Xenopus tropicalis: one gene and its partner. The main gene of each other region encodes a partner of the protein of the gene in region 2 in a complex. Links are inferred from orthologs where the notes say so. Each region holds a gene or a part of one and is shown on either strand. Other genes may lie near its edges.

Region 1 (3,656 bases), on a different chromosome or scaffold from region 2:
ACATCAGCTAGGGACCATGTCTACTTCAGCTAGGGACCATGTCTACATCAGCTAGGGACCATGTCTACTTCAGCTAGGGACCATGTCTACTTCAGCTAGGGACCATGTCTACATCAGCTAGGGACCATGTCTACTTCAGCTAGGGACCATGTCTACTTCAGCTAGGGACCATGTCTACATCAGCTAGGGACCATGTCTACTTCAGCTAGGGACCATGCCTGCTTCAGCTAGGGACCATGTCTACTTCAGCTAGGGACCATGCCTGCTTCAGCTAGGGACCATGTCTACTTCAGCTAGGGACCATGTCTACATCAGCTAGTGACCATGTCTACTTCAGCTAGGGACCATGTCTACTTCAGCTAGGGACCATGTCTACTTCAGCTAGGGACCATGTCTACTTCAGCTAGGGACCATGTCTACTTCAGCTAGGGACCATGTCTACTTCAGCTAGGGACCATGCCTACTTCAGCTAGGGACCATGTCTACTTCAGCTAGGGACCATGTCTACTTCAGCTAGGGACCATGTCTATTTCTTTACTGCCTGTCTTACTATATTGAACTGTAGGTGCTTGGGGGTTATTCTATCACCAATTTCCTGGGCCAATGGGGGCCCACCAATTACATGTTGCCCAGGGCCTACTGGTACCATAAAGCAGCCCTGACCAGTGTTAGCAGTGATAAGAGCAGCACTAATGACCCATGGGTTCTTTCTGATCTTCCCAAGCAACAGATGGTCTGTTGGCCAGAAAACCCATAGTTGTGGCCCTATACACTAGCCAATAAGATACTGACTCAAAACTGATGATAAAGTGTCTGTAGTTAGATTAAAGGGGCAGTGCACGCCCCAGTGAGGCGTCATGTTAGGTGATCACTGGGATTATCCCTGGGGTGTCTCCCAAGGATCGAGCATATAATTCTAGTCATAATGCTAATTCTGTATCCTACGACCTGAATTACTGGCTGTCATATTTAATCACATGATGTAGCCGTGCAATAAAGGGACTCTCAGCACCCAGAACTAAAAGGTTTATTACACAACCCAACCCTGTATTCTGCTGGCTAATTATACACCACCTCCATGCTAGAAAGCCTTACTGTGCATTTTAAACCCCAGTGAATCACTCATTATTGGGCTCTGTTGGTAGGAAATTCCATAACCTGACTGCCCTCTTTCCTGTGCTGATGGTGAAATCTCCTTTCCTCCAATCTCATGATGCCTAATGCATCACTGTACCAGATACATTTTCATATGACCCTTTTTAATATTTGTATATGTTGATAATATGTTGATAATGTTGATAATATATATAAATATATATATTTACATCCTTTCCCTTGAGCAATCATTTAGTGATGGGCTGTGTGCTCCCTCAGAGATCAGCTGACAGGAAGTGATGCAGCTCTAACTGTAACAGGAAGTAGTGTGGGAGCAAAAGGCAGAACTCTGTCCATTCATTGGCTGATGGGGCCTAGCATGTATGTGTGCCTTGGCTTGTTTGTGTGCACTGTGACTCCTATGATCCCAGGGGGCGGCCCTTAGTACCTAAAATGGCAGTTTCCTATTTAGGATTACCCCATGGCACATACTAATTAAAAAGTATAGTTTTATCAAAATGGTTTATTTATAGATGAAGCAGGGTTTTACATATGAGCTGCTTTATGTGATATGTTCTTATAGAGACTGTTCCATACATGTTAGCTTTACAGCTGCTATCTGACACTGAGTGCTATCTACTATTATTCCTGGATCCGTTTGCATTATTACATTACCTAAAAAGATACCTCTCTAGCTCTAATTAGGGTGTTTATTACCGTGACCAAAAGACACAAGTGTGACCTGAAGGATGAGGCCCAGGAGGTGCCATTTTGAAACTCATTGACCCTCTTTGCTGTTCTGATTGACAGTGGTTCTGATTGGAGAGTCCGGGGTGGGCAAAACCAACCTCCTCTCCAGGTTTACGAGGAACGAGTTCAACCACGACAGCCGCACCACCATTGGAGTGGAGTTCTCCACCCGCACGCTAACGATAGATGGGCACCTGGTGAAATCGCAGATCTGGGACACCGCTGGCTTGGAACGCTACAGAGCTATTACCTCTGCGTATGTATATATGGGAGAACATATTCCATCTGGTTACATGGCTTCACCACATAGGTTACTGAAGTGGTGCAAACTCTGCCTGTTACCATATATAAGGAGGAACATAGGAGAGTAATGGGTGCTCCATAGAGCAAGTGACAAGGTGTCCCCTTGCCCTTTCTAGGTTCTCAGGGTAAAGGGGGTTATGCTGTTTCATGGCCACCATGTACTCTAGGCCAGTACCCTAAACCAGATATTTGATAACTGATGCGAGCCAGGAGCACAGGAGTATCCCCCTTGAGGATGAGAAGGCCCAGTAATGGAAAGTTGCCCAGTTCATGGACTATGTTGACCCTATATGGAGATAAAAGGCAGAGTGGGGCAGTTTCCCCTACATTGTAACATTTGGTGTCCACTGTACCATAAAGAGCAATACTAATTGGTTTCAGGACCCCGGCAACGAATGGACCCTCTGTAGCTGTTCTACCTTTAGTACATTGTTGGTTGCCCACTGCCCTCAGCAGTATTAACATTCCTAGCCACTGAATGATTGCTCTGGACTACTGAATGGGATCTAAAGGTGGCCATACACTTTAAGATCTTCCGAATCTTCTCCCTGGGGCCAAACGATTGAATTATAATGACGGCAATGGGCACAGTCGCTTTGGGGACTGCACCAATGAGCCAATGTGGTCCCCAATCCGACTACATTTTTTAACCTGCCCGATCGATATCGGCCCGATTTCAGGCCAGATGTCGGGCATGCCAGTCGTTGCTGCCCCTACATGGGCTGATACAATCATCCCCTGTATGGCCACCTTAAGAATGCTCCTGTCACTTTGTAGTCCCTAAAGCATTGTTTTTGGATTTGATTCAAGCCCTACTTTGAGATGCAACCTTCGGCTCATTTGTAACCTTTATCCCAAAACTAGGTTAAGTACAGTATATATATATATATATATATATATATAAGACATTGTCAGCCATATTTCTAATATCTTAGACAGCAAAGAAGGCCAGAACCCTGTATCCCCACCCACCTACACTTCCCTGGCTAGAACCTGATGAAGCTCAGGAAGAGGAATATCACTCAATGGGGCTGGAGATTTGGAGAACTTATTTGCTGTCCAAGATATTCCTAGAATATCCATATCCATAGTTCTAAGAATATCTTGGACAGCAAATAAGTTCTCCAAATCTCTAGCCCCACTGAATGGCATTCCTGTTGGTACATTATGTTCTGGCCATGGGAGCGTAGGTGAGTGGCCTGGTTACCATCAGAATGTGGTGTTCATCTTCCTTTTGTCCTTATGGATCACCTGAAAGATCATTAAACTGACTGTAAGAAGAGAGTTTGCTTGGGGTTGGCTGTGTTTATATAAAACAATTGAGGTCAGTTATGAGTGGAATGTGGCCTTACCCTTCCACAGTCTTTATTCAGCGGCCACGCCTCAGGAAATATTAGGCCTCCGTTACGCAAACTGACTTTCCTTTCAACCTAAGCTTACGGTCCATTGGCAGTTGTAAGGAGTGTTCAATATGGGCGTGGGCCGTAAGATAAACATCAGCTATCAAT
Region 2 (3,425 bases):
AGGCGAATTTGATCGTTTGGCCCTGGGGCCAAAGGATTGAATTCTAACGTCGGCAATGGGGCAGTCCAACCTGGCCAATCGATATCTGGCCAAAGATATTGGTCGGCTAGGCCCCTCGTTTCTGCCCCTACACGGGCTGAGAAGCTGCCGAATCGGTCCAAGGGACCCATATCGGCAGCTACAATCGGCCCGTGTATGGGGACCCAGATCTCAATTGGGCAGGTTTGATTTTCCCAGTGGATCAGGGACTGCGTTGGCTCATTGATCCGGACCTCTGTCCCACAGGCCATTTAGCCCCCCCCTGTCGCCCCCTATAGCGATCGCAACGCGTATAGCACCTTCAGTAAGAATAAATGGACACAATCTGCCACAACAGGGAGCACCCGTTTATGGTGTTACTACTCTGAGCAGCCATTGGGGGTTTTAGGGTTCATTTTGGAAAGATAAAAAGGGAAAGTAACTTTAAACAATTAGGACCAATTGCAGAGTTGCTTCGCCATGTTCCTTCTTCAGTGTACAAACTTGAATTTAATATTGAGCTTCGCCATTAGCTAATGAGAGTTATAGTTATCTAATGACGAAGCTCCAAAAAGGTTACAGGGTTTGCTGTAATAGTGGGCAGGGTCACGGGCCAGTCATACGTAAGTGGGAGTGGCCAGTTGTCCAGTTGTTTTTATTAACGAATACCCAGAAGAGATGTCTTTGTTACTAATCTCCATGGGGGTATTTATACACAATCTACACTTGAGCATATTTTCTCTGCAATACCGCGGGCTTCATCCAATGATAATGAACTCCCCAAACAATGCAATTACACAGCATTAGGACCTGATAATGGGCAGGAAGCTCCATTTAATGAAGGGGAGAATGTGTGCAATTATGTGCTCTCTGCCATGCTGATATATGGCATTCTCCAGAGTGTTAATAATATACACAGAGTAGCGCTGCGTTACTGCCCAGGGTCGAGGAATATACTCGGGAATTAGAGATAATTAATGATGAGTTCCTAAGAATCACTGTTCTGTACAGAATAAAGCTAGATATGTCAGATGCGCAGAATCCATTATTTTTCTGCTGAACACCGAAGCCTTTGTGAAAGATTTGGCCGAATACTGAACCGAATCTGCCTATGGAAATTAGGCTATGGAAGGGTTAAATAGAAACACATGCTTCAAATTTTTTGTTCATGTAACCAAGTCAGGTGATTTTAAGGATTCAGATTGTCCAGACCAGGCATCCTCAAACTAAGACCCAGCGGGCCGGATACGGGCCCCCCAAGGAATTTACCCAGCCCCCCACTATGATCTGATGCAAGGACGCAAGGGGGGAGCCAGAGGACGCAGAATGGAGCCAGAGGAGGGAGAGGGAGGATGCAAGGGGGGAGCCGGAGGAAGGAGAGGGAGGAAGCAAGGGGGGAGCAGGAGGATGCAGGGGGGAGCTGGAGGAGGGAGCGGGAGGACGCAGGGGGGAGCTGGAGGAGGGAGCGGGAGGAGGCAATGGGGGAGCGGGAGGATGCAAGGGGGGAGCGGGAGGGCGCAAGGGGGGAGCTGGAGGAGGGAGGGGGAGGGTGCAAGGGGGAGCGGGGGAGGGGTGCAAGGGGGGAGCTGGAGAAAGGAGAGGGAGGACGCAAGGGGGGAGCCAGAGGACACAGAAGGGAGCCAGAGGGAGGACGGAAGGGGGGAGCCAGAGGACGCAGATGGGAACCGAAGGAGGGATCGAGAGGACACCAGGGGGGAGCCAGAGGAGGGAGAGGGAGGATGCAGGGGGGAGCGGGCCATAGTATGAGGACACTGGGGGAGGACTTTAGTCCGGCCCCTCAACAATCTGAGGGACCATGAACTGGCCCCCTGCTTAAAAAGTTTGAGGACCCCTGGTCTAGACGCTTGTATTTAGCCAAATCTGAATCCTGCTGAAAAATCCTGCTGGATTCGGTGTATGCCTATAACAGAAATATAGGCTACTAAAAGGCTCTTATATTGAAGTCAGTAAGTTGCTGTTGAAAATTTTCTACTAGATACCTCCCATTTTTAAAATTAGAACATTTTTGTTGCTGTCCCCTCAGTCCATATAGACACTTTATCCATTGTTCTCCCACCACCTTTATGGTCACCCATATTGCCCAAAAGTACTGGGTGTGAAAAAGCAGAGAGGTCTTCTACTAAGGTTATGTTGAAAGAACACTAACTAGAGACATTAGCACATTCCTTGTTAATTGATATTTATCTCTGATGGTAAACAAAACTGTTCATTTTATTTCTACCTGTTTGTACCAAAAAACTTCCCCACCGTCACCCTCTGATTTGTACTTTTTAGGATTCGGGCCCCTTTGATGGCGCAGGGCTCTACAGTCACCTCACTCGCAACGAGGTGGAGCGGGAACTTTCCAAGCACAAGGAGCTTCTGAAGAGGAAGGACGGTCACATTCGAGAACTTGAGGATTACATTGATGACTTGTTGGTGCGGGTAATGGAGGAGACACCCAGCATCCTGCGTGTGCCTTACATACCCTCCAAGAAAGCCGGCAAATTCCCTCAGAGCTAATAAGTACCTGCCTACTGCCCACCTTGTCGTTCCTGCCTCTGATTGGTCGCTCGCCCAGTCTGAGACCTGCCTATATAGACTAATTAACGGTCTCCAGGCGTTTTAATGATTAAAAACAAAGTCATATTCTGAAATACTTTGGTGAAATGAAGTTTAAGAAAATGGTGCTTTCGAGACAACGTGAGTTATAGTGGCATTGGCAAAGTTCTGTGCCATTTCTTTTGTGAGATCTGATTTTAATTTTATTAAGTACAAAATGTACAGATGACTGTAAGAACCCTCTTTTTAAAAAAAAAAAAATATTGCGTTTACCCCCTCTGCCATGGTGAACTGTTGGGGGTCTCCGTAATCTGGCTGCTGGCTAGCAATAGGGAAACAGTACCTTTTTATTATGCTTGGCCCACATATTGTGGATCATCCATCTTAGACCATGCTCGGAGCTGTAGTCTCACAAGACGAGCCCTACGGGCAATACAGAGGTGTCAGTTCCCCTGTTGTGTTGGTTCTGTGTTCTAAAGAACCACAGCAAGCTGTTCTCCTGGGGTTGCCTCTGGGGTCAGCCATTGAATGGTGACGTTTTTTGAAGTTACCCATTCGTTCTTCTTACCTAGTACGCCCCTTTCTGCCTGGTAACAGGGTTACTTTTCTATTCCCTGGGTGGTTGGAGTACACAGTAACTTCACACTATATGGAGATGTGCTATGATGGATCTGCTTTCTTTATCCAAGAGGGGCAGAGATTCTGAACCCCTTTATAGCAGGACAATTCACCTATTAGGAACCTACACCTTGTGTTTCATAGGAGCTAAGGTATCCCAATCCTCACATACTTGTTTCACGGCAATAACATTCTGACCGACACTTCTAAACCCTCCTGCACCGGGT

Evidence for each region.
Region 1: the proteins of rab11fip2 (region 2) and rab25 are in contact, whole or in part, in a crystal structure (PDB 3TSO), measured with the Homo sapiens proteins. The link is inferred for Xenopus tropicalis from reciprocal best matches to the Homo sapiens genes RAB11FIP2 and RAB25. Residues at the interface, in NP_055719.1 of Homo sapiens: Arg475, Glu478, Ile481, Asp482, Asn483, Leu485, Val486, Met489, Pro493, Ser494, Leu496, Arg497, Val498, Pro499; in NP_065120.2 of Homo sapiens: Arg34, Ile45, Gly46, Val47, Glu48, Phe49, Ser50, Thr51, Lys62, Trp66, Arg73, Arg75, Ala76, Ile77, Ala80, Tyr81.

The regions. Positions count from the first base shown.
Region 1 is NC_030684.2:133,284,492-133,288,147, forward strand, and holds part of rab25 (ras-related protein Rab-25), read left to right. Parts: intron 1-1,905; coding exon 1,906-2,101; intron 2,102-3,656. UniProt on the Homo sapiens protein: The small GTPases Rab are key regulators of intracellular membrane trafficking, from the formation of transport vesicles to their fusion with membranes.
Region 2 is NC_030683.2:5,848,111-5,851,535, reverse strand, and holds the end of rab11fip2 (rab11 family-interacting protein 2), read left to right. Parts: intron 1-2,313; coding exon 2,314-2,541; 3' UTR 2,542-2,841; downstream 2,842-3,425. UniProt on the Homo sapiens protein: A Rab11 effector binding preferentially phosphatidylinositol 3,4,5-trisphosphate (PtdInsP3) and phosphatidic acid (PA) and acting in the regulation of the transport of vesicles from the endosomal recycling compartment (ERC) to the plasma membrane.